3 linked regions of the Drosophila melanogaster genome follow. The protein of the gene in region 3 interacts with the protein of the main gene of each other region in a pairwise test. Each region holds a gene or a part of one and is shown on either strand. Other genes may lie near its edges.

Evidence for each region.
Region 1: the proteins of CG43740 (region 3) and inaE interact in a two-hybrid assay, tested with the Drosophila melanogaster proteins (one large-scale study listed by BioGRID).
Region 2: the proteins of CG43740 (region 3) and TfIIFbeta interact in a two-hybrid assay, tested with the Drosophila melanogaster proteins (one large-scale study listed by BioGRID).

The regions. Positions count from the first base shown.
Region 1 is NC_004354.4:13,779,321-13,788,006, forward strand, and holds the start of inaE (inactivation no afterpotential E), read left to right. Parts: upstream 1-4,393; 5' UTR 4,394-4,956; intron 4,957-6,386; 5' UTR 6,387-6,632; intron 6,633-8,686. Other genes in the region: CtsB (cathepsin B), read right to left, coding at 857-1,330, 1,839-2,006, 2,153-2,413, 2,490-2,609; amrt (amaretto), read left to right, coding at 3,179-3,853.
Region 2 is NT_033777.3:10,764,026-10,770,959, reverse strand, and holds TfIIFbeta (transcription factor TFIIFbeta), read left to right. Parts: upstream 1-3,155; 5' UTR 3,156-3,260; coding exon 3,261-3,797; intron 3,798-3,862; coding exon 3,863-4,159; 3' UTR 4,160-4,338; downstream 4,339-6,934. Other genes in the region: CG45076 (uncharacterized protein), read left to right, coding at 1,657-1,858, 1,924-2,743; Cap-H2 (chromosome associated protein H2), read right to left, coding at 5,063-5,446, 5,516-5,710, 5,762-6,324, 6,382-6,517, 6,587-6,849. UniProt on the Drosophila melanogaster protein: TFIIF is a general transcription initiation factor that binds to RNA polymerase II and helps to recruit it to the initiation complex in collaboration with TFIIB.
Region 3 is NC_004354.4:10,331,570-10,340,120, forward strand, and holds the start of CG43740 (uncharacterized protein), read left to right. Parts: upstream 1-2,082; 5' UTR 2,083-2,182; intron 2,183-4,236; 5' UTR 4,237-4,269; coding exon 4,270-4,882; intron 4,883-8,551.

The sequences.
Region 1 (8,686 bases), 3.4 Mb from region 3:
ATATCGAGTTTCGGTGAATAGAAGAGTGGCTACAAAACCAGTCAATCAATTCACAGAAAATCGATAAGAGAAGCGGTTGGTTCATGACAAGATAACAAAAAAAAAACTGAAAATACAAAACAAATGTTCTATTTGATGTTGCAAATGAGAAAAATAAATAAAACATGTTATGTGAATAAATATGTGTACAATTTGAATGGACATTTGGTGCTGCAAATTGTGGGCAGCTTCAACGAGATAAGTTTTACATATGTATGTACATATATGTATGTATGTATGTATGTATGGCCAAGCTAACTAATGTAATAATAAATTAACTCAACAAAATCGCACCAAATGACGAATGCGATTGCAAGCTGTACTCTTTGTTTGATTAATCAAATGCGATGCTAATCACATTTATAACTCGCAAAACATACAGCTAGCCAGTTTAACGATTGAACGATTGACGGCGTTCCATTTAAATGTGTGTACATAGTATAGAGGATCAGATACTCTCTACTATTAATCTCTACTATTAAATAAAAAAGGCATAGCTACGCTAAACAATAGTTTATAGTTGGATAGTTATAGCATTGTTTCACAAATAGTATTATTCGCTTTTAATTATATCTGAGTTCCAGTTTGATAATCATTTTCTTTTTTTTGTTTGCCTTGTTTCTAGTTAGAGAGGTCCCACTGTATACGAGCAAAGTACAGTTCCACAGTCATATACAATACTTTATTATCAATCAGGTTTAGGTTGTTTACATTAACTACAAACGTCAGTTGCGAATCGGAATGAAAATAAAAGGAGGGATGATAGAAAATAGAGGGGTTTTGATATATCAGCTTGATGCCGGAATACATATAACATTTACAGCTTGGGCAGACCCGCCGAAATGGAGCTCTCGATGCCGCAATGATCCTGGCCACGCAGGATGCGGAAGAAACCATGATCGCCCCAATCGGTGTTCCACGAGTTACCAATTAGCCAGTACGGAATCTTCTCCTCGCCCCAAACGCCCCAGCCCAAAATGCGAATGGCATGACCGCCCAGCTCCTTGCCATGCTCGTGCTGATAGACACCGTCCTTGTACAGAATGAGATCCTCATAAACGGTGAAGGCGCCCTCAACCGGTCCATTGGTCATGATCTCCTCCTGAATTTCACGCACATTACGCCTCACCGAGTACGACTTGGAGCCGAAGTGCTTGTCCTTGGCATAATCGACGGTGTAACCGCTCTGGCAGACGTGCGAACACTTGGGCGTTCTACCGCCATGGGCACATGGTGGTCGGGTTCCATTCACATGGTGCTCACAGGGAGAAATCTCGTAAGGACGGCAGCCCTGCAAAATAAGTGCATATTAGAATCGTTTTTTCTTCTGTTTGCCTTACTATATCTGGGAAATGAGTTAGTAGCAGCTAAAACTTATCGTTGAGGATGTACGCGAATCTGGAGTGCATTCACAATATATGCATGTATATCTATAGATGTTCGTATATGATATATATACATATAGCTTTGTGTATATGGATGTTTGTATATGATATACTAAGCCGCTTTCTAGCGATATCTGTGGTATACAATTTTTTATGGCGTCGTAAACTGAGTCTTCAGTTCACTTCAAGTAAACAAAGAACAAAATCAAGTTGCTTTCTAACTATTTCGGCGTAGAAATACAATATGTACAAATACAGGTTATTTTTGCACATAAAGTATGTTTTTCTTCGTTAGAAAACAAACCCTTTTTTTTATTGGAAACTCATCTGCAAGCAAAACCAAATTGCAAGCCCTTTTAAACCAAACTAAATATGATTTGCAAAATCCCATTAAAGCAGGAGAAGATCACCAACCTGATTAGATCCGTAGGGTCCTCCGCTGACGATTCCCTTGCGCGTCCAGTAGCTCCAGGCGGCGCCGGGGAAACCGCCATTGCAGCCAAATCCGCAGGTGTGGCAGCAGGAGACGAGATCATCGGCCGAAAAGTGGAAATTCACCTTGCCGCCGGAATGGATGCACACCTGCCCATTGCGAAATCAGTAAAAAAAAAAAAATCATTGATAACAAATACAAAAAGAAAATAATAATAAAAAAAAATGGGGAAATTTATCAGCTGGACAAACAAAGAATGGAAGGGGTTATAATATCGATAAGGTAAGCTACGTACGCGATCGGACATGGCTTCCACGGCACCAAAGGCCCAGCAGGAGCCGCATGAACCCTGGTCGCGAATCTCGCCAATGGTTGGGCAGTTTGGCCATTGCTTGCGGGAATCGAACTCTTCGGGAAGTTCGTCAACGCTATTCACGTATAGATCGCCAAGAACTTCACGCTTGTCGGGCAGTGCGAACTTGTGCGCATCCGGATGGACGCCCATCAGGCGGCGAATATGTCCCTCCGTTACGGATGCATCGAAATTGCGACCCACCTGGCGGATAGGAAACGGGAAAATGCAATTTTCTTGTCACGTCAGCAAGAAAAGGGTTGGAAACAAAGGAATTTACCGTCCAGGTTTTGGCCTTACTGCGCACCACCTCGATGAACTCATCCGAGAGCAGTGACGGCTCACCGGACGTGAGTGCCGCCACGGAGGCCGCGGTGGCCACCAGGAGCAATAGATTCATTATTCTTGTCCAACGAATTTCCAATGCGCTGACACAGCAAAATTCAAACAAATCACAGCAGTAAAATGGTGGAAAATGACGCGTCGTATTAAGCGGGCTCTCTGCTCCGTTCTTGTTTTCGTACTGCCCGTGAAATTCGGACGGGTAATGCTCTTTAAGCGTCTATTATTCTCTTGTTTTTGTTCTGTCGCACAAAAAAAAAAAAAAATGGTTCGCGCCCGCTGATTACGCGGCCAGTGTGTGCACACCAATGCAACAGGGCCGTTGCCTATCGAATGTAGAGATGGGCGCGTGATTGGTAACTAGTCTGAAATAAATAAACGCATTATACTAAATAGCACTTCACTAAATGTACTTAACTAAAGACTACGATCACACTAATGCCAATAAATATGCTAAGGAGCACTGTTACTTGAAAGGTGGTTTATTTGCATTTATTTATTTCCATTCGTTGTCGTGGTGCTTAAAATCAGAACTATCGGTAGGCCATCGCAGATAACAGAGCTCTGTTAGCTGTGCTAAGGTGTGGCCACACTGGCTAGCTATATTTTGATAAGGAGCTCGCAAAGATGCGGATTTTCTACGGACTACTGGCGTTCCTGGTGGCCAGACAACACGATGCCCAAGCGATACAGGCACGCAGCGACAAGGAGCAGCCGCAGACTGTGGTCTCCGGCACGGCGGTGCAATCGGTGGTGCCCGTTCAGGCGCAACTGGGCTCCGGCATGGGACCCTCCTCATCGTCATCTTCGGCATCTTCCGCCTCGGGCGGAGCTGGAAACTCGGCCTTCTATCCACTGGGACCGAATGTGATGTGCTCGTTTCTGCCGCGCGACTTTCTCGATTGCAAGGATCCCGTCGATCATCGGGAGAACGCCACGGCGCAGCAGGAAAAGAAATACGGATGCCTGAAGTTCGGTGGTTCCACGTACGAAGAGGTGGAGCACGCCATGGTCTGGTGCACCGTGTTTGCCGACATCGAGTGCTACGGTAATCGCACCTTTCTGCGCGCCGGAGTGCCCTGTGTCCGCTACACGGATCACTACTTTGTGACCACACTGATCTACAGCATGCTGCTGGGTTTCCTCGGTATGGATCGCTTCTGTCTCGGTCAAACGGGCACGGCTGTGGGCAAACTGCTTACCATGGGCGGCGTGGGCGTTTGGTGGATCATCGACGTCATCCTCCTGATCACCAACAATTTGCTGCCCGAGGACGGCAGCAATTGGAATCCCTATGTCTAGACGTGTGTGATATGCCTCTGTGTCATAGCTTTAAGTAGTTAAATAAGATTAATCTTGTTCACTGATTAATTCGTAGTGTTAGGAAATTAAATTAACTTGCCCCTTATTTCATTATAAATACCTTTGTTATAAAATCATTGAAATTAATAATTTCATACATATCTATTAGATGTAAAGTAAGGATAAATAAATATTTAGAAGTACAGTTAAATAGTTTTTATATGCCTAAGACAATCAAATGACTGCCTCTTAAACCAATTGTTTTTTTAGCTTACACCAAAACTACAGCTTTGATCCGTGCAAAAATGCCCGCATAGCATCAAAAGGGACGTTTTGACTTTGCACAATCGTTTTTATTTTTAATTTTAAAGTATATTTTGTTCAATTCGAATGTAGCGCCACAGCTGTTCCAAAATTTGTTCAGTGGATCCATTGCATTTCCGACAGCTGCTTTCCATTGGGCTATCGTTATCGTATGATGGCTATCGTCCTTCGCCATCGGGAAATGGAAATCGAAAGTTTCGCGTTCAAACTCGAAAGTCAGTTGCAAGAAAGCTCGCCAACCGCGCGGTCAACGGAGACTGGCTGAGCTGAGCGGGCGCTTTCTCTTTTATTTTTCTCCATTGACGACGCTGCGTGCGCGTCGCATCTCTCCCGCAAGAAACGGCAACAACAATAAGCACTGCGCGGTGCATAAATAAAACAAACGAAAATATATAATTGTTAGCCGGGAATTTATGCAAAATACACAAAAATAAACAAGACAAAAAAAGCAAACTAGTGATGACAGGCAAAAGTTATAACAGTACTTAAATCGCGGCACAAGAACGTAAACACAAAGTCGTGTGTGCAAATTCCATGGGGAAAAAGCTAAGGAAGGAAGAGGAAGCAGCAGTGTACAAGAAGTACAAGAACAACAACATGAGGACGCCGACGTCGAAGCAGACAGCGACTGCGACGCCGGCAGCGGTAGCGGCAAGACAATTCGAATATCTTTGGATGCTGTTAGACTAACGGTGCTTTAGTGGTTGTTCTACATAACCGCGTCTATGTGTGTATGTGTGTGTTTGTGTGTAAAGCGGAAAAGCAGCAAAAACTGAATGGTAAATAAGTGTAAACAGAAAGCAAAAGAAAGAAGAAGCCAAAGAGTAGCGGAGATAGGGTGGGAGAAAGAGAGAGAGTGACAGAGAGAGAGAGAGAGGGAGCGAGAGGAGTAGCGATTTCCATTTATCGATTCACCTGCAGCCGAAGCCATTCCATTCCATACCAGCATCATCGACTTAATCCGTTCGAGCGGGATTAAGGCTGCGCCGCCCACGCAGGGTCGACGGCGCAGCGACCGCATTACCGGTCGCCGGTAATTAGCCGCCAAGGCCGTCGGCGCTACACAGAAAGAAATGTAAAGGTAGAATTGGTCTCTATAGTGCCATTTGATCAATACAAAGTTGCAAATCGATCGAGCATTTCTCTCAAGTTTTCTAAAATGCTCTTAAACATAGCTTTTGGTTAATAGTTCATTTCTTATTTCACAGATCCAATTTCTAATTTATTAAAATGCTATTCTCAAGGAAATAGTATTATTTTTTTTTTAGTAATTGTAGCGAATGACCAGCGCTTGTTTTTTGCAGTGTGCATAATAGTTTTACATTCTGCTGCAGCGGTGTGAAAGTTCAGGCTCATTAAAAGCAGCTGCCTAACGGTGCTCGGCATTCGGTACCGGTACTCGATACCATCCGATACCGTTACTCGGTACTCGGCTAACGACGACGATGAAAACGAGATTAAGCGAATCCAGTAGCTTCCTTAATAATTAGCAGCATCCTGAATCGGAGTTCCCCTTAATCTAAAGGAAACACTCAAGTCTATCAGATAAATGGCAAACATGTTGGCTCCTAAATGGTGCCTAGTTTTTAGAGCACTTAGTAATAGGTTTTAAATTTTGAAGTCGATCAATGAAATAGCTTCGCGGTTTTCCAGACGCTAAGAAACTGAATTAATTCTGCTTAAATTACAGCATAGCTTAACTTTTATGGGCACATTAAACGCTGAATGAAAAATGTTCTTATAGAGCCATTAACCCAATGTACTTGGTACACTAAAGTTAGAGGGAAAGTCCATTTGTAATGACAGCTGTGCTTTATTTCCTTGAACGTGTTTGAATTTCGAGTGGCCAAAAGACAATTTAGTCGCTAAGTTTTGCTAAAAGTTTAGCTATACAATGTAATTTGCAAGTTTAAGTTGATAATTATGGTTTCGTTCTAAAAACGCAATCAACAACAATTAGTAGAAATCGCGTAAATGATAGCTATCCACAAACAACAAAATTCTATGGAATCCAGCTAGTTTAGTTGCTCCTATTATCTCTCCTTCTTTCCATCTAACTCCGTATAATTTTACTTTCGCGAACGAGAAAGTGTTAAAGGAAAACAACACGAATAACAAATAAACGAACAATAATGCTAATGAAGCCAAGCGTGAAATGTTTTTTCTCTATATTTTTTTTTTTAATGTTTTGGAATTTTGTGTGTTAAAGTGCAAGCGAAGTAGCAAAGCAGTGGAAAATAAAAGCCATAAAATATTGCAAAAAGCAGCGGATCGGTGAAAAGCGTTAACCGAAGCCAAGGAAAAAAGTAAAAAAAAAACAAAAACAAACAGCCAAAACAACAAACATCAAAAGTTGCCAACTTTTTTCTCTTGCGACCGCAGCATCCGAAGAAGCAGCGGCGTCAGCAGCGACGCCCGACTGCAGCCAGCGTCGCGCTGGCAACAACAAATTGCGGTAAGCATTTTTTGCACACTTTTCCATTGTCTGAAAAAATTAAAAAAAGGGAAGCCCTATACAATTGCATTCCTTACACAAAGAAGTGATTTGATTTGATTTCAAAACTGGTATTTATTTCTAACCATTCGTATCATTTTTCCTAAAACAATTTTTATAATTTAAAAAAAAAAAACAAACTTAAAACCTTATACTATTACATATCAAGATAATTAAAGCACATCACTTTAATGCGCAACTTCCAAGTTCCGATTGAAAAGAAAAATTTGTAATTTCAAAAACTTAAAATTTAAAACTTTGAAGGCAATTCGAAGTAGGATAAACTCACAAATATTATTTTCTCGGTGTACACACTTGTCTTCCATCTGGCTACACTCATCCATCTATATAAGTTTATATTATATATATAAATATATATATTTACTGATTCTTTCTGCCGCACACACACATTCACACATTCACAGACTGCTGATTTTACTGTTTGGTTTGTAATTTTGCCAAATTGTAGACACAGCATAATAAGCACACAAAAAGAAACGAAACTACATATGTACTTCAAAGTTTGACAGTCGACGGGAAATTGGAACGAGCCTCGTTCCACAAAATAATTCACTTCAATTGCATAATGGAAAGGCGAATCCACCGACCGATTAGTGAAATTAATTTTAATGGATGCATTGGTTCGTTTGTTAGCATTTCAATCACATTTATTGGACCATGGGTCCATTATATCATCGAATGGAATAAATCAATGAATTTGTAGCTTAATTAGCCTTTTGTACATGCTTATACATGTAAGTTAAGGCAGCTGAGATCGAATATTTCAATTTTGAAAGCTGGCAAACATGGACAGCCCAACCAATTAAACCAAATATTTTCAGTGAAAATCAATTTTTTTTAGTAACCCAAGCGTGTGTAGAACGCATTAGGATGTACTTTCTAATTTAATTGCATTTCAAAAATGAAGTACATCTAATTGAATTAAAAAAGGACGCTTGAATCAATTTTTCGATTTTCTATCGCACCATGTTTTGATAAAAAGCTAGATAAATGTCATCCCCCGTATTAGAGGTATTAGACTTTATAAGTTTAAAATCTCGTTGAATGCGACCAACCCCCACATTTTACGGATGATAACGATTTCTGGCCAGATAAAGTCATCCCCATTTCGAAATGATTACAATTATCGTTTAACAGAATGAGATTGCAAGGAATATATGTTTATGTACAATATATAGAAATAGAGGAATATCAACAAGCAGACAGTCGACGTAGAAATTGAAAATAAAAACAATCAAATTAAACAAACGGGCTAAAAATAAAGAAAAAACTTGTAGACGCCCAATGGCTGTTTCTCTAAATTACACAAAAATAAATAAATGAGCATATTTTTGTTTTTGGCAATTTGAACTACATCATCGAAGAACTCGTATATAAAAAGTGAATTGAAAGTTCTTTGAAAAGAAACTTGCTTTGCTGCAATTGTAATTTTTTCTCGCTTCATTTGCTTTGAGTAATAGGTATCTTATAGTCGAGGCGATCTGTCTTGCATTGCCATTGCAAATGCCTATGGTCGCAACATTGGTTAATCATTTTCCTGCGTGTATGCAAGGTGGGTGGCAATTTTCGGTGGTGGCTGTCGCCTGCCAGCGGGAAAATGGAAAAGTGAGCGTTGAAGAGGGGGGAAGGCGGAGGATGCAAAAGGGAAATGGGAAAGGGCAGGGAGTGCGACAGACGCCAGCCAAAAAATACAGGCGTATTTGCTGATTTTTCCGTAGCCGGCTTAGCCGTGTTACCCTGGCTGCTTCGCTGCTCCGTTCTGTCCATGTCCAAGCATTCCATTTTGCCATTTACTTTAGACAACCCCCTCCCTCCCTCCCCTCCACACACACACACACACACACAAAACTGGCGTGTGGCCCATGCTCTCACATCGGGGGTTAGTTATTTTTGGGGACGAAAACCGCAGGAGCAGCAGTACAGCAGAGCAGCCCTCCAAACTTCTCCTCTCAACTGCGGAGGAGGATTCGCGACGAAGGATTGCGGATGGACCA
Region 2 (6,934 bases), on a different chromosome or scaffold from region 3:
GATGTTGGCGCCAAAAGATTACCATTCATTACGAGATGAATTTGTAAGGACAAGGATATGCACTACATTTTTTCCTTTACAAAATTTAAATTGCTCAATTTTTGTTAGTATCCCAATTCAAATAGAATAAATCTGCGAATCCCTCTTCACAATCAAAAATCAATCAAAATATAAAATAATTAATCAGCATTGCCTAAAAAAAAACAATTGAAAAAAAAAACATGTTTACGAGCACCAGGAGCTTCAAATTAAATTTATAGATTGGCTTGGACCAATATCAATTCATACAATTCTTCGTAATCCCCTTGTCCAATAATTTTCTTTCAGTGTATTCTCCAATTAAATTTATTGTTAACGTACAACGTTTGTTAGTTCAAGATAAGATGTTTTTTAATACGGTGCTTTAGAATATAAATTAAATAATTCATTTGTAACTAACTTACATATTTGGTTGCTGCATCCTGAATTGTTCAGTTCATTGTATTTCACTAACGTTATACGTTTTATGATTGATTGATTCTTTCCAGTTGAAGCTGTTGAAGTTGAGGCCTAAATGATAACATGCCTGATTTTTGTATGGACATACACTTCTCTTTCTTAAATAAACCAATCTAAAAGACTTTCTTTTGCGTGGTAGACAATTAGCCGATATCTACAAGATGAACACTTGATATCGACACAATATGGCGCTTTCACTACTCAGACTAATACTTACACACAAATCAGATCAGAACAGCTTTGAAGATCGAAATAATAAAAATATTAAACAAATTCAACGCATCACTTGTGATACTAACATTTTTCATGTGACTCACCAAAATGTAGATACTTATTCATTCTCTTTCAATTTGTTGTAACTTAAGTAAGAAGCTGACTATTAAATTATATATTTTCATGATCACTGATTACGAACTATTAAATACTTCATGTGCATACTTTTTGGCATTTGTAAGATATGGACTTCATCGCGAATTTTGTTAACCAATGTTTTGTTCATGCATATGTAAACACATTTTAGGGATAGTTACTTACAAATATGTATCAATATATTAATTTGTAAATACTGATCTAAACGCAATTCTTTCCTTGTGGGGTCGTATTTTGTAAAAGGTCTGCATATCGGGTCTATTTCAGATGGGATTTCAAAGGATTAGAAAGTGGCGATTTTGCTATTTTGATAGGTGATATTACATCGGCCCACATTTTTGCACATAAAGATGACTAATGGATTGATGCAGAATTATAATAAAATACATCGAAATTGACGCAAATTTACACAGTACAACACTTCAAGATTGTAGCTTACTTCATATACTATTTTTTTGCATTTTGAGATGTATATATGTATGTATGCTTAACCCATTAACCACATTTTGGTTCAATTCTTCATACCCAGAACTTTTTAAAAACTCCCATTAATGCCACACAATACTCTAAAACATTGGCGTCTACTGTATCTGCAATTTTCCTTGCCTCGTCTATAAGAAAACCAACAATCGCCGATCCTAAGAGTAAGTATTGTAAGTATAAGTATAATGTATAATGACATTAGCCGAGTGAACAACAAAGTGAAGGATATTTAATGTAAAATGAAAAATAAGATACAAATGCATAGGCACTGTGGTGAAGGCTCTTCTGACAAGCATTACATTTCAGATGCCGAGTTGGATCCTAACCGTCCATCTAGAAAATTTTCTGCCCCTAGGCCCCTGGAGGATCCCCTCGATGTGGAGGCCAAGGAGAAACAGCGTCTGCGCCAGGAGCGTCTTCTAACCGTTAACGAAGAGGCTCTCGACGAGGTGGACTTGGAAAAGAAGCGTGCCCAGAAAGCCGATGAAGCCAAGCGTAGGGAAGAGAGGTGGGTGCTCACTACCTACACCAGCTCATAGCTCATTTCCTATTAAATTTTTGATGTTTCCGAAGGGCTCTCAAGGAGGAGAGGGATCGCCTGACGGCTGAGGCCGAAAAGCAGGCTGCTGCTAAGGCCAAAAAGGCTGCCGAGGAGGCCGCCAAAATCGCTGCCGAAGAGGCTCTCCTGGCTGAAGCTGCCGCCCAAAAAGCAGCCGAAGAAGCTAAAGCCCTAAAAGCCGCTGAAGATGCTGCCCAGAAAGCTGCCGAAGAAGCGCGTCTAGCGGAGGAGGCTGCCGCCCAAAAGGTCGCCGAGGAAGCTGCCCAAAAAGCTGCTGAGGAAGCTCGCCTAGCAGAGGAGGCAGCCGCCCAAAAGGCCGCCGAGGAAGCTGCCCAAAAGGCTGCCGAAGAAGCCGCTTTAAAGGCAGCCGAAGAGGCTCGTCTGGCTGAAGAAGCTGCCCAAAAGGCCGCCGAAGAAGCCGCACTGAAGGCTGTAGAGGAGGCTCGTGCCGCCGAAGAAGCTGCCCAAAAGGCCGCCGAAGAGGCTCGTGTCGCTGAAGAGGCTCGCCTGGAGGAGGAGCAGCGTGTCCGTGAGCAGGAGCTGGAGCGCCTGGCGGAGATCGAGAAGGAGAGTGAGGGAGAACTTGCTCGCCAGGCCGCCGAGCTGGCCGAGATCGCCCGCCAGGAATCCGAGCTTGCCGCCCAGGAACTGCAGGCCATCCAGAAGAACGAGAACGAGACCAGCGAGCCTGTGGTCGAAGAGCCCGTCACGCCCGTTGAGGAACAGGAACCGATCATCGAGCTCGGCTCTAATGTTACCCCCACTGGTGGTAATAGCTACGAGGAGGATCTCGATGCGGAGGAGGAGGAGGACGAGGAAGAGGAGGAGGAATAGATTCTACACAATCACCATGCTGTCAACCTAATTTAAAAAGAATGAAAAAACAATAAAAATATTAGAAAAACAATTTAATAGGGCAATGGGGTGGATAATGCTGGATAAGGTGTCACATCAATTCATAAATTCATCTTAAATCAATACAATGTTGTGTTCTAAATTTAGTCATAAAATTTGCTGAATAAATCAAAATTAAGATATCATATTCTTTCTAAGACATTTCATTATAAAAGTTATTTCTTATGTTCTAAAGTTCTTGCTAACTATATAAAATTCAGATATGTAAATAGTTCTATTTCGTTATCTGCACTTCGGACTTTTTCAAACTTGGCGCCTAATAATAACATAACGAATAAATACCGAAAGAAAAATACCGTGATATACTAAACTAGCATTTTTTCGAAACTGTTTATTCGACCGCACTAAATTTACGGCAAAACAACAACAACAAGCAAAGCCGAAAACGGTACAAGTGGCTTTGCAAATTCGTTTTTAATAATTTAAAGCAAACAGAATGTCGAAGGAGGATAAGGAAAAGACACAGATCATCGACAAGGACCTGGACCTGTCCAATGCTGGGCGAGGCGTATGGCTGGTGAAGGTGCCCAAGTACATTGCCCAGAAATGGGAGAAGGCGCCGACGAACATGGACGTGGGCAAGCTCCGGATAAACAAGACACCTGGCCAAAAGGCCCAGGTCTCGCTTTCCCTCACGCCCGCCGTTTTGGCTCTAGATCCCGAGGAGAAAATACCCACCGAGCACATCCTGGACGTGTCGCAGGTCACCAAGCAGACGCTCGGCGTATTCTCGCACATGGCACCGTCCGATGGCAAGGAGAACTCGACTACCTCGGCGGCACAGCCGGATAACGAAAAGTTGTATATGGAGGGCAGGATTGTGCAAAAGCTAGAGTGCCGACCCATCGCCGACAACTGCTACATGAAACTAAAGCTGGAGTCCATACGCAAGGCATCGGAACCACAGCGACGTGTGCAGCCTATCGACAAAATCGTGCAGAACTTTAAGCCTGTAAAAGACCACGCACACAACGTGAGAACAATAATACACTCTGTTTTGGTAATATATATGTATATATAACTCCTCCATTCCTGCAGATTGAATATCGGGAGCGAAAGAAGGCCGAGGGCAAGAAGGCGCGCGACGACAAGAATGCCGTGATGGATATGCTCTTCCACGCATTCGAGAAGCATCAATACTATAACATCAAGGATCTGGTCAAGATCACCAACCAGCCGATTAGCTACCTGAAGGAGATTCTCAAGGATGTCTGCGATTACAATATGAAGAACCCGCACAAGAACATGTGGGAGCTCAAGAAAGAATATCGCCACTACAAGACTGAAGAGAAGAAAGAGGAGGAGCACAAGTCAGGCAGCAGCGACTCGGAGTAGCATTGGGAGAATCGCCGACTTACTTTCATTAAAACACATTAAGTAATTGCATGGTTCCGTTTTATTCCTTAAGAACTACACGTTATACTTACGAAAAAAACATTATATCTTAAAATGATTGTAAATAGACACTAGCTTGCACTCTGGTAAATACATACGTATATATACACTTTATCCTTAATTTATCTTGAACTTTGTCTTATGTCCGAAGAGTTCTTATGTTTATACTTTTGTACAGACGAGATCAGGTACTTGAATTTAGTACTATCAGCTCATGAGGATTTCCAAAACACGCGCTTCGTCAATCAAAAAGTCATTTGTCTATTTTTGTTCTAAATCAAAGGAGGTATAGTGTTAAATTTTTAGGAAATCATAGAAATAATAAGAATACGAAATAAATCTATTCGTAGGTAAAGTAAAATAAATCAAAAATGTTCAAAAGAAATAGAAATTAATAAAAATGTGAAAATTTCATAAGCAACTAAAAGCGTCGTAAAAAGTTAAAAAAGTGAAGTGAAAGAAAAACTAAAAAACGGCTTCATGCTTAGGAAAATCGAGCTTAGATAATACTGGTTTACTACTCTAAAGAAATATTGATTCATACATCGATAAGCTTAAGCTAAAGCATTCTTTCTATTGCAAGCTTCCTAATAATACGTAACTAAAACTTACATTTGTACACGATTGCGGGTAAATAATCTGGCAAGAACATATATCTAATGCAGCCTCTTGATCTTGTTGTACCGCATGGGAAAGCGCATTGATCTCTCGGCCTGAAAATAATATACATAAAAATTGAATTCGAATAAGGGGGCACACAAACTAGACTCTACTACTGGGTCAGGACGCAAGGAATCTTATCTACAAAGAACTACTAAGCACATTTAAGACGAAACACGGCTACTACTTCAGGCGGGCTGTCGATGCCAATGATGAGCCCATCGAAGATATCCCCGAGTCGGCATCAGAAGGAGTAGGCCACATCTTTGGGATGGGCTGTATCAATCGCACAGTTTTAGCAAACACCTCGGATAAAGAATTTTCCGCAGACTTTCGTTTTGTTGGTGCAGATGCCGTCGTGCTTGTTCGTGGCTTGTGAGCTGAATCATTTAGCTGTTTACTTCTCGGCGTCGATTTGCTCTGGGCAGCATTTATGTTGCCCACGTCGTCCTCGGGATTAATTTCCATTCGCTTCATACTCTTTAAATGCATTCGAAACTGAGACATGTCGATGGGCTTACTTTTATCGCGATTTTCAAAATCCAGAGACACGTTTCCGTGGTTCGTCTGCAAATGAGGAGTGTAAAAATGATTGCTTATCGAAGGACAGCATTTTGATTGAACGCATTAACTTACCAGTACCAGGGAAGCCAGCATGTAGCGACACATGATACTAGGATCCTTGTCAGCCATGACGTCGGCTAACGTGGCTGTTCTGTTGCCCGCCTTGCAAATGTCCAGGATCTCGGTGCCCAAGTCCTTAATATTGAAATTCTGCCGTTCATGGGCTGCTTCCAAAGCAGGAGCCAATCGTCTATGCCAGTCCCGGATCTAAATGGACAACGTTAGTATTTTTTTTATAATTTTATATCCAATATTTACCAATGAGCAGTCGTCGACTGCTGAGTCGGCAATTGGATTGGGTGTTTCAGCAGACAAATCATTTGCATCTGCTTCGTCATGTAAGGTATCTTGGTCCTGCACGGTTGAAATCTCTAGGTCTGAATTGTCAGGTTGGGTGACATTTATAATGTTACTATCCATTGCACTCGGTTCGGTACTTAAATCCAATACAGAACTAACTAACGCGCTCTCCATTCCTAAATCCACTGTGGTTTCCAGTCCGCTTAGCGTTCCGGAGGATTCTGTAGCAGTCACTTCAAGTTGCGATGAATTTGCGGTATTGTTTTCCGCATTGGGTTCGGTGGAAGCGTTTAATTCCTGCGCTAGTGAATCTCCCAGCCCACTTTCCTTTGTATCGTTCACATTCTCATTCAAGGCGTCGCTGGCGCTCGCGTCAGTTAAATTATTGGTGTTGGCTTCAATCTCATCTTCAAGCTCAGTTTTAACTTCTCCGATAGTGGAGACACAACTTGATACACGCGGCTCTTCGATATCGAAGCCCGAGTCAAATGTGGGTCGACGTTGGCGGAAACCCAGAAAATCTGGTAAGATATGTAAGATAGTTTCGCGACGTGACATAGTGTGGCAAAGTAACTTACTCAAGTCCTCATCAAATTCTAAACTACAGGGGGAGCCGGGTTCTCTTTCATTTTGGGGAGCCTCTCTTCCAATTTGCAGTACAGTTCTGGGAGTGGTTGGGGATTTTTGTTGTCCCTCTCGCTTAATAGGAAGGCGCTAAAAATAAAACACATATGCAGTTCAAGATTTTTTTCCAACAGTGATGTAACTACTGAAAACACTTACTGCTTGCCTGAATAAGTCGAACTCAGGTGGAAGTTTAAAGATGCATTTCCGACGCAGGCGTTTTATGGGGAGACCCATAACATTCAGCAGAATAGGATAGCTCACCTCCCTTGGAACATTCATGATAAGATCAGCATCCATCTCAATGATATTGAGCGTTTTTGCCTCCATCGATGGGCTAACCATCTGCAACATGGGCGACAACTGGCGTTGATCTTCTAAATCTGAAAGAACAACACCCTCATCATCAAAAGACTGGCCTGCTGTGACAAATGCAATGCAGGGATGCAAGTGTTTGACAAGTGCCAAAATAAAAGAGTAAAGAAAAACAAATATGTAAGTATTTGA
Region 3 (8,551 bases):
GGTTTGCCTTGTTCGATTAGTTTTTTCGCAAGAAAGTTGCTTTTGGAAAATTTTGGAAAAATGTAAAATATCATGCAGCGCGCGTAAGCCAAAGTGAATACAAAGTTGACCTTTTCGTTTTACCAAAATATTTTGAAAATGTATATTGGAAATGTGTAGTTCTGTTGCTTTGTTTTTACGAAATTGTATGTACAAATTGTTTAACAATCGGGGTATATATTATTTGTGTGTTATGTTCACATATCAAATGCTCACATTGGACTAAGGTTTTGTCCAGTCTAAAGTTATGACACAAATGAAAATTCATTTCATGGCCTACATGATTTGAAAATTTTTCGGCACTTTTTCATGGCCTGCCCATCAGATTTTACTGTCTAGCCATGTTTGTTCGTAACCGTCGTATTGTCCTTTTGTCCTTCCGTCTAAACGGTCAAGATATTACGAAATGGTTACATTTATATATACACATTTATATACTAATTAGCATTTATATATATATTCAAGTGAAGCGTCTAGGTCTTTGACTAAATTTCACATTCATTGAGATTCACCAAAGTCCTACACATTTTATACATCCGTTTAAGTTGCTCTACGTTTCTCTACATAATTTCTACATTCTTCTACGTTCTTTCAGTACTTTCGACGTCCTTCAACATCGTTCTATACGCGCCTTCTATGTTTTTCTATGTTCATTTACCATTTATTAACTACATTAAAATAAATCAAGAATATTAACTAAAACTAGTAGTAAACCCGTCGAATTATTGGCTATTATTGGCTACAATTTAAGAAAGAAACTAACATTCAAAACTAACTGGCAATCTAATAACAATTCGATATGCACATATGTACATATTTGCCAAAAAGCTGAACAAGGATTAGGGAAATTGAATTGGTTTGTCTAACCAAACGGATTCGGATGACCCCATGTGGGCAATTTAAATACTGGACTTTTTGGAGTATATATACAATACAATACATATGTACATGCAATCCAAAACAGACATGTCACTGCCATCGTGTGGCACTGTTTTGTGCGAAATAATAATAGTGCAAATAAATTGCACAAATATCCTATTGTTTTAGCTTGACAACCCATTTTCGTTTCTATCTCTATCTATATTTATATTTCTATTTCTATTTCTATTTTTGTTCCCGGAAATGCGGCACTCGTCGTCCCAAATGCATTTCCCATACGGCTGCGTTCCATCGACAAAGGCAATTAAATTTGTAAAATTTTCGCAACGAGTGGAAAGTGCAATGTGCAATGTGCAATGTGCGATGTGCGATGTGCAACCTGTGTGACCTCATTGATTAGCCAGATGCTGTTGTTTCTGCATTTGGTCTTTATATTTAAAATTGATTGCATTCAGCATAGAAATTGGCACTACAAGCACTACAAGGCTGGCACATTTGCAGATAGATGACTTAAGTTAATGGAATGCTAACAATTAAAAAGGAAAATGTGTTTCACAAAAATGCCATAAATCAAGTGTATGCTATGCATTTTAATCACCAAGTTGCATAAATTAGTAAGTTAAGTGATTATGTTGTTCAAACAATAAAATGTTAGTTAAAAACATAAGATACATATTTAAAGAGGTGTTCAAAAGTATGCTTCACAAATTCCCAGCATATCTTTGGGCACTTCTTATTCGCAGTTTTTTGAATAACCTGTTGTTGATTTCTTCGTTTTCATTTCGTATTTGCACATATCATACAAATTACAAATTAAATTGGGTCAAAGTCATTTGAAATTCGTGAGCGGACAATCCGAATTAATTAAAGAATCTCTGCCTGTATTGTCGGCGACCTGAACAAAAGCATTGACTTTTGTTTGTCTTTCGTCTTGCACAATAAATAACGAAATTCCTTTTGAAATTTCCAGCTGGCAAAAGCGAAGAGAGCGGCGCCGCAACTTTGCCCTCTCGTCAATTCATTGCAATGCCCAACGTTACCGTTGGCCATTTTCTCTTTTTTTGGGAAATTGTCGGAAAAGCGTGAGAAAATTATGGGAAATTTGTGGGAAAATCTCCGGCTGGCCGGCGGTCTATAAAAGCGCGATTCCAACGCCGAGCGCGTTACAAAGGCAGGCGGACTGCCGACGCGAGTGGCAGGATAGAGCGGCTAAAAAAAAAAAAAAACAAAAAGGACAAGCGGCTACCAAAAAGGACGAAACAACGTAAAGTGTTTACTTCGAAGTTAAATTTTACATTTACTCCGGAAACGAACGACCGCGATCCTGTACGAATTTTTTTTCTTTTCTGTCCTGTTTTGGGTTTTTTTTTTTTTTTTTTGTGGTGCCGCATCCTTGTTTTGGCAGCTTTACACAGAAATAAGAGTGACAAAGTGCGCTGCACATAAGCCGAAGGACGCGCGCCTTCAACATCCTCGCACCAGCCTCAGTGGAACTCAAGCCGAGTCGCCGGAAAACCCATCCATCCATCCAATACCATCCCTACCATGCCCACACGTTTCATTTCGCGCGTCCATAGTTTTTCCAGCCGTCCGTGGCTTTCCACCCACAAAAGGAACACTGTTCAAAAAGTTGTGGTCTTTGTATGCTAACATATACAAGTGCTTAACGGAATACCCCATAGAGTGGGCAAGTGTGATAATCTAGTAATTGTGAATGAATAGAACATTGGATGAGCCATTTATATAAGGAAGGCTACGTAGAATATGCAGAAAGATCCTTTCGATTTGAATTTTCACTTGAATATTGCACATTATAATAATGATAACAACTACGTGATAATCTTCCATAGAAGACTCCACCGGACTCTTTTAAGCTGTAAAAAGGAAGTAGACTAGTAGACTATCTGGTTGTTAGCAATTGATTTTAAATTGGATATGAAATGGCAAACGACTGCGTTATTAATTCTAATCACCGGATAACATTTGAGTCGAACTTCATTCTTTCCGAAAGTATCAAAATTGTTTTCTCTGCAAAAGGAATCGTGCTTGGCCATTTAATTGTGGTCTCTGGTGACCAGCAGGGGTTCGGAATGGGATGTGGGGATGTGGGATGGGTGGATGCGGAATGGTAGGATACTGGCATGCAGAATGGGAATTGTGGAGGTAGAATGGTGCTTTCTTCGATTCAATTCGATTTGTCGTAATGAAGCTAGTCCACGGAGTCCCATGCAATAGTTAACATATTTTTATTGCCTGTTGTCGCCAAAGCGTCCCCCATCCGGATTCGCCAGATCCGCCAGATCCGCCTCCATTTGCCCATCCCCAAGCAACCGTTCATGCCGATGCCGATGCCCATGCCCCCCCGCCACTACCATCTACATACGTATATATAACCATCTATATTCCAGCTCCCTTGGCAGTTTCGGTTTCAAGTGCCATTGGAGCTGAAGCTCCTCCGGATTGCTCACTTGATGGCTTGGCCGATTCAATGTTTGCGCTTTTGCGTGGCCAACAAGTGCGGATGGGAATGGTAGTGGATGTGGGTATTGAGATTGGGATTGTGAGTGAAACTTGGGTATTGGCGGGAGGTCAAGAGCTGGTCATTTGGGAATCGGGTTTAGGGTTCTCTCGAGTGGGCACAACCACCCGCTGCCGTTCCACAAAGTTGCTTACATCATTTCGGGGGAGCCTTTAAAAGTCATGTTCACCAACACGGTGCTGGGCTGCTGGGCTGAGTAAATCCAGAGTAATCAACGATGTCAGGGGAACTTCGTAAATATGTATGAGTTTTAATGCAAATCCTTACATTTCCCAATCGGGGGAACTTCAGGTACAAGGAACTCAAACATTTCAAGGGGAATTATCACAAGCAGCTGAGTTTTTAAAGTTATCATTTTCGTGGCAAAATATTAACTTAATAAATGTTGCAGCATTCCATAAAGCATACACAATTTTAATTAAAAATTTGCGATTATTCTTTAGTTACAAATCGCATGTTAAATCAAGCGATAAAATTTAATTTTTGTGCAGGAATTTACTGGCCTTATGCGGTTTTATTTCTGTTATCCTAATGGGTTAGTCCCTTGCTAAATCCCTGGGGGGAGAACACTTAGAACCTTTACGGGGGGTTACTTCTGATCGCAATCAATCGTTGTTTGGTCCAACTTTCGCCAACCGAAACTTTTACTCCTGCCCACTTTTATCCACCCATCACACACACACACACACACAAACTTAGTGATTCATTAAAGCAATTAGAAAAGTCCGAAATCCGTGGCTGAGTGGACAAACATTTAGCAACACTTCTCTTGCATGCAGCCAGGATTTACGGAGCGAATGCGAGACCATCTAATGCTCATTGAAATTTACGATTATGCTGCGAAATTATTAAACAATATGACCGCCAGAGGAGTCAGGAATTCAGTGGGAAAATCAGCCGAGAGCCGTACTAAGGAATCAACAGGGAAATTGGGCAGCCTGCTTGGCCGCACACTGGCCAAAGTGGCCAAAGTGGCCCGCTCCAATCCCGCCCAGCACGTGACCAATCTGCCCGTTTCCGCACTCCTGCTCCAGGCCCTCGACGTGGCGGACGTGGCCCGCGGACAGGGAATCGATTATCCCATCACTAGCACCACCGGGACCACCTTCAACATTATCACCACCACCACCACCACCACCACCACCACCACGGGCAGTGACCCAACGGATGTGCTCGGCAGTCAGCCGCCGGCGTTCTCATTTCCCGCCAACGTCACTGGAGCACCGGGAAGTGCGGGGAATGCGAACGCATACCTGCCCGCGGGCAATCTCAGCGGTTTCATCGAATCCTCAACAACGGCGGTGATGAGCACACTGCCCATACCCACCAGCACCATGGCCACGCTCCAGGCCCAAACGGTGGCCACTTTCATCGCCGCCACCGGCAGCAAGAATCGCCCAACGACCATCGTTGTCTACCCAACGGGTGAGTCCTTAAAACCAGTTGAATTTTTTTTTTTTTTTTTTAAATTCAATCTTGCGCAAAATGCAGCAATATTTTGTAATCAGCTATCAAAAATTGCAGTAAAAAATATTTATAATTTGATTTTGTTTTTTTATCACCCAACAGGTGAGTTCATAAATTATACAACAACAATTTTAATCAGGGTCTAACCAATTTTGCTTAAAAACATACTTTATTTTGTGTGTGAAAATGTTGTGGGGAATATTATATAATATACGTAGAAACTGAGCGCATATATATATACTTTAATTACGAAAAGCAAATTACGAGAAGTTGTGAAAAACACATTACTTGCGGCAACTTTGGCCATAAATAATAAAAGTAATTTGCAAAATTCACGACTTTTCTTAAATTTTACATCACATTTGATGCCAAATTCTGTTTCGTCGAGTGAGTTGAGCGTTTTATTGTCGAGCACAACATGCACTTAAGGAAGTAATTACTGTGCATTTGCCGTGCATTTCATGAATTTTCGAGCAACTGAAAATCAAAATAACTTCCTGTTAATGCGCAACTGGCGCATTAAATTTGCATCAGCAGCATGCTGGAATCATCTTTAAAAGTTCGACTTAAATTGCTTTAATAAATCGGGTGGTGCAACTTGGTGAAGCGCTCTTAATCATGCTTGGCCGCTCTGCAAAAATTAATAACCATCATTATGTTTATTGATTTTTTATCCAACATATTGTGTGTATATATCCCTTCTGTTTTTTTTTTTTTTTCGAAATGCTGCAGCTACTTGCTTTTCAGCTGCCACATCGTTTTTAATCAAAAGAAGAGCCCAAGTGGGATTTGTCACCGTTTTGGGGCAACAATCAATTAACCCCGCGTCGCAAATGAAAGGACTCGAGGCGTCCTCCTGCCTTAAGTTAATTAGGAACATTTGCCGGATAAAGACCCGTGCTCCGCTCTAGTAATCAAATCAAGTCGCTGCAGTCAGTCACCCATCGGGGTCGCGTGCCAGTCCTGCTTCCATATCCATGGATCCATCAGTCCGTGGATCCATCAGTCTCGTCATCCTTCACATCCTTGCGCCCATCCGCATACCAATTAGTCGCCCCGTTTGCCGGCGTTAATTTGCATGAGCTGACAACCGAGTCCTCATTATCCGCATTGACTCCGATTTCTCCTCCGGCTGGCGCGTCAACTTATATTTTTTTTTGTATACATATATTACATATATATTTTTTATAGTTTCTCGTTGGCACGGCCAACTTTGCTTGGCTTTCGAACTGGCTCAGGCCAATCCCAAAAGTTGGCCCCCAGAGTTTAAGTGTGGACTAGGCTCCATTTCCATTCCCCATTCCCATTTCCCCTGCTACCATTCAGCAATTAGACAAGTCTAAGTCGCAGTAATTGCAAAGAGTCGCACTCAAATTTAGCTGTTGATTGTGCCAGGCAAGTGTCGCCATCAGTTGAGTGGGTGGAAAACAAAAAACAAAAAAAAAAAAAAAAAGAGGTTGGGAAAACTGAATGGAAAGTTGGTGGGCTTCTCCAGCTGGCGCCAATGTCGCAGCGCCTCGAGGCGCTCACAAATTAGAGTCTTAAAGGCTGCACGGAAAACAAATAACCGAGGGTTAAAACGGAAAGCACGAGGATTCTAAAAATCACTGCCAGCGATGGTGTCTAGAAGTAGGCAATAAAAAAGGAGAACATGGGATTAGGTGGAATAACACACTTTTAGACACCTTTACAAGTGATCCCCCCCAGTGATTTCTGTCAATTCGATTACTCATCCAGGAGTTGGCATAGAAATCTCAAAGGATTTTCCGCTTGAATACATTCGAAAACCTCTAAAGCATTACTGTATACTGTTTTTTACTCGAAACGCAAGAGTTTGGCTTATTTATTTACTAAAAGCATATATATATATATATATTCTGCATGTAATTAAACCCGACTTGCAGCTTTAAAAAACTTTGCTTGAAAGTCATTTCATTTTTTTTTTTATTGTGTGACGTAGGCTGGCGTCTTTATTAAGCGAATGGCTTCTTCGTCACACTGCCAAGGCTTCTGTGCCGAATCGAAATTTGTCGACAACATTGTCGACTTTCCTGCTCACCTTATCGGACCCAAAAAAAAAAAAAAAAAAAAAAACATGGCAGACTCCAGCTCATCCCGCCCGTAGGCCCATAACCATTCTCATTTCCCCAATCCCCACTACAATCAGCGCGTACATCTCGGGCATTATCGACGGTACGAGTGGGTGGTGGTGTTGGGCGTTGGGCGGCAAACGTCTATGTCAGCGCTCTCGATGGCCTGTGGGCGTGGCACTCGAGTTGCCGCCACCTTGTCACTTCGACACAAAATACAACTTTTCGTCCATGCTGACAGCAATGGAATAAAAAAAAAAAAAGAAAGAAAAAGAAAAAAAATTGTAAAAAAAAAAGAAAACAAAAAGAATCGCAGATGGAGCAAAAAAAAAAACTTGCCCATTACAATTTCCCCAACAACAACGGGAAAAAGTGCGTAAACTCATCCGATAAAATGATATAACAGGAATGTGATGTCCTTCAGCTCCATTGATAAGTTAACAATGCATTCTACTTAGCGAAACACTCGAATGCCTGTTCGCTTTTTTTTTTTTTGTCGACGAGGAGTTCTCGTTTTTCATCCAGAGAAACTGAACAGAACTGGGGGGAGGTTCTTTTCGCGAACAATACTTAAATATTCGATTTTTTCCCCTTTTAAAATGTTCCACTCGCATAAGCTCAATTTAATAGTCAGTGCCTGATGAATGGCGAATTTATTGGCAAGCAGGAGATGTAATTTAATAAATAAAAGAGTTTCGCACTCATTGATAGTTGGATTTCATTTTTCTATATAGTAACGAAAGGCACCGCCACATTTTGTTGTTTTCTGCTGATGGCAAAACCAAACCCCTTTGCTAATTTAATCATGCTAATGTTGTCAACAGCTTTCGACTGTTTGCGGCTGAGACGTCCGTTTTGGTCAAAATTGAATTGGTTGTGTTTGTGTGTGTAGAATTTGCCTTATGTAAAACCGCATTTTATTGGTCACCACGAGTGCCCTAGCTTTTGGCCAGAATCCTGTCAACAACCGGGCCACCATCACTGACTTTGATTTGGGCGGGAATTTGGAACGATTTGCTGAGGTGTAGCTTCGTATCAAAGTGAAACTTTGGGGCTCTATTAAATGCAAACTATTCTCCGCAAATGCCTTGCGGACTTCAAAGTTGGCCCCCTCACACACACACCCCCCCCCCTCCTCCTCCTTCACAAACCTTTCCCTTACCCATTTTGCCCGCCTTGAGTTGAACCGCAATCAAGCTCGAGTTGACTTTGATGGGAATATATTCGAATTGGAGAAATCACTTTACGCTACTATATGGGTGTATGTGTACCCAGAATATCTCTGTGTGCCGTCAAGTCAATACACTAAAAAAAAACCCTTTTAAAGCTGGCACACGATGTTTTTAAAAGCCTTTTTTTCATCCCATGTTCAAAAATGGTCGCAAAGCTGCATGAGTTACTGTTTTGAGCAGCTTATTACCAAAGCTAAGCATCTGCATTACTTTTTGACAGATTTTGCAAAATAAATTTTTTTGTAAATTTTCGCATTTTTTGTAAGGGGTTGCAAAAAAATGGCCAAAAAATAGAATTTCCATTT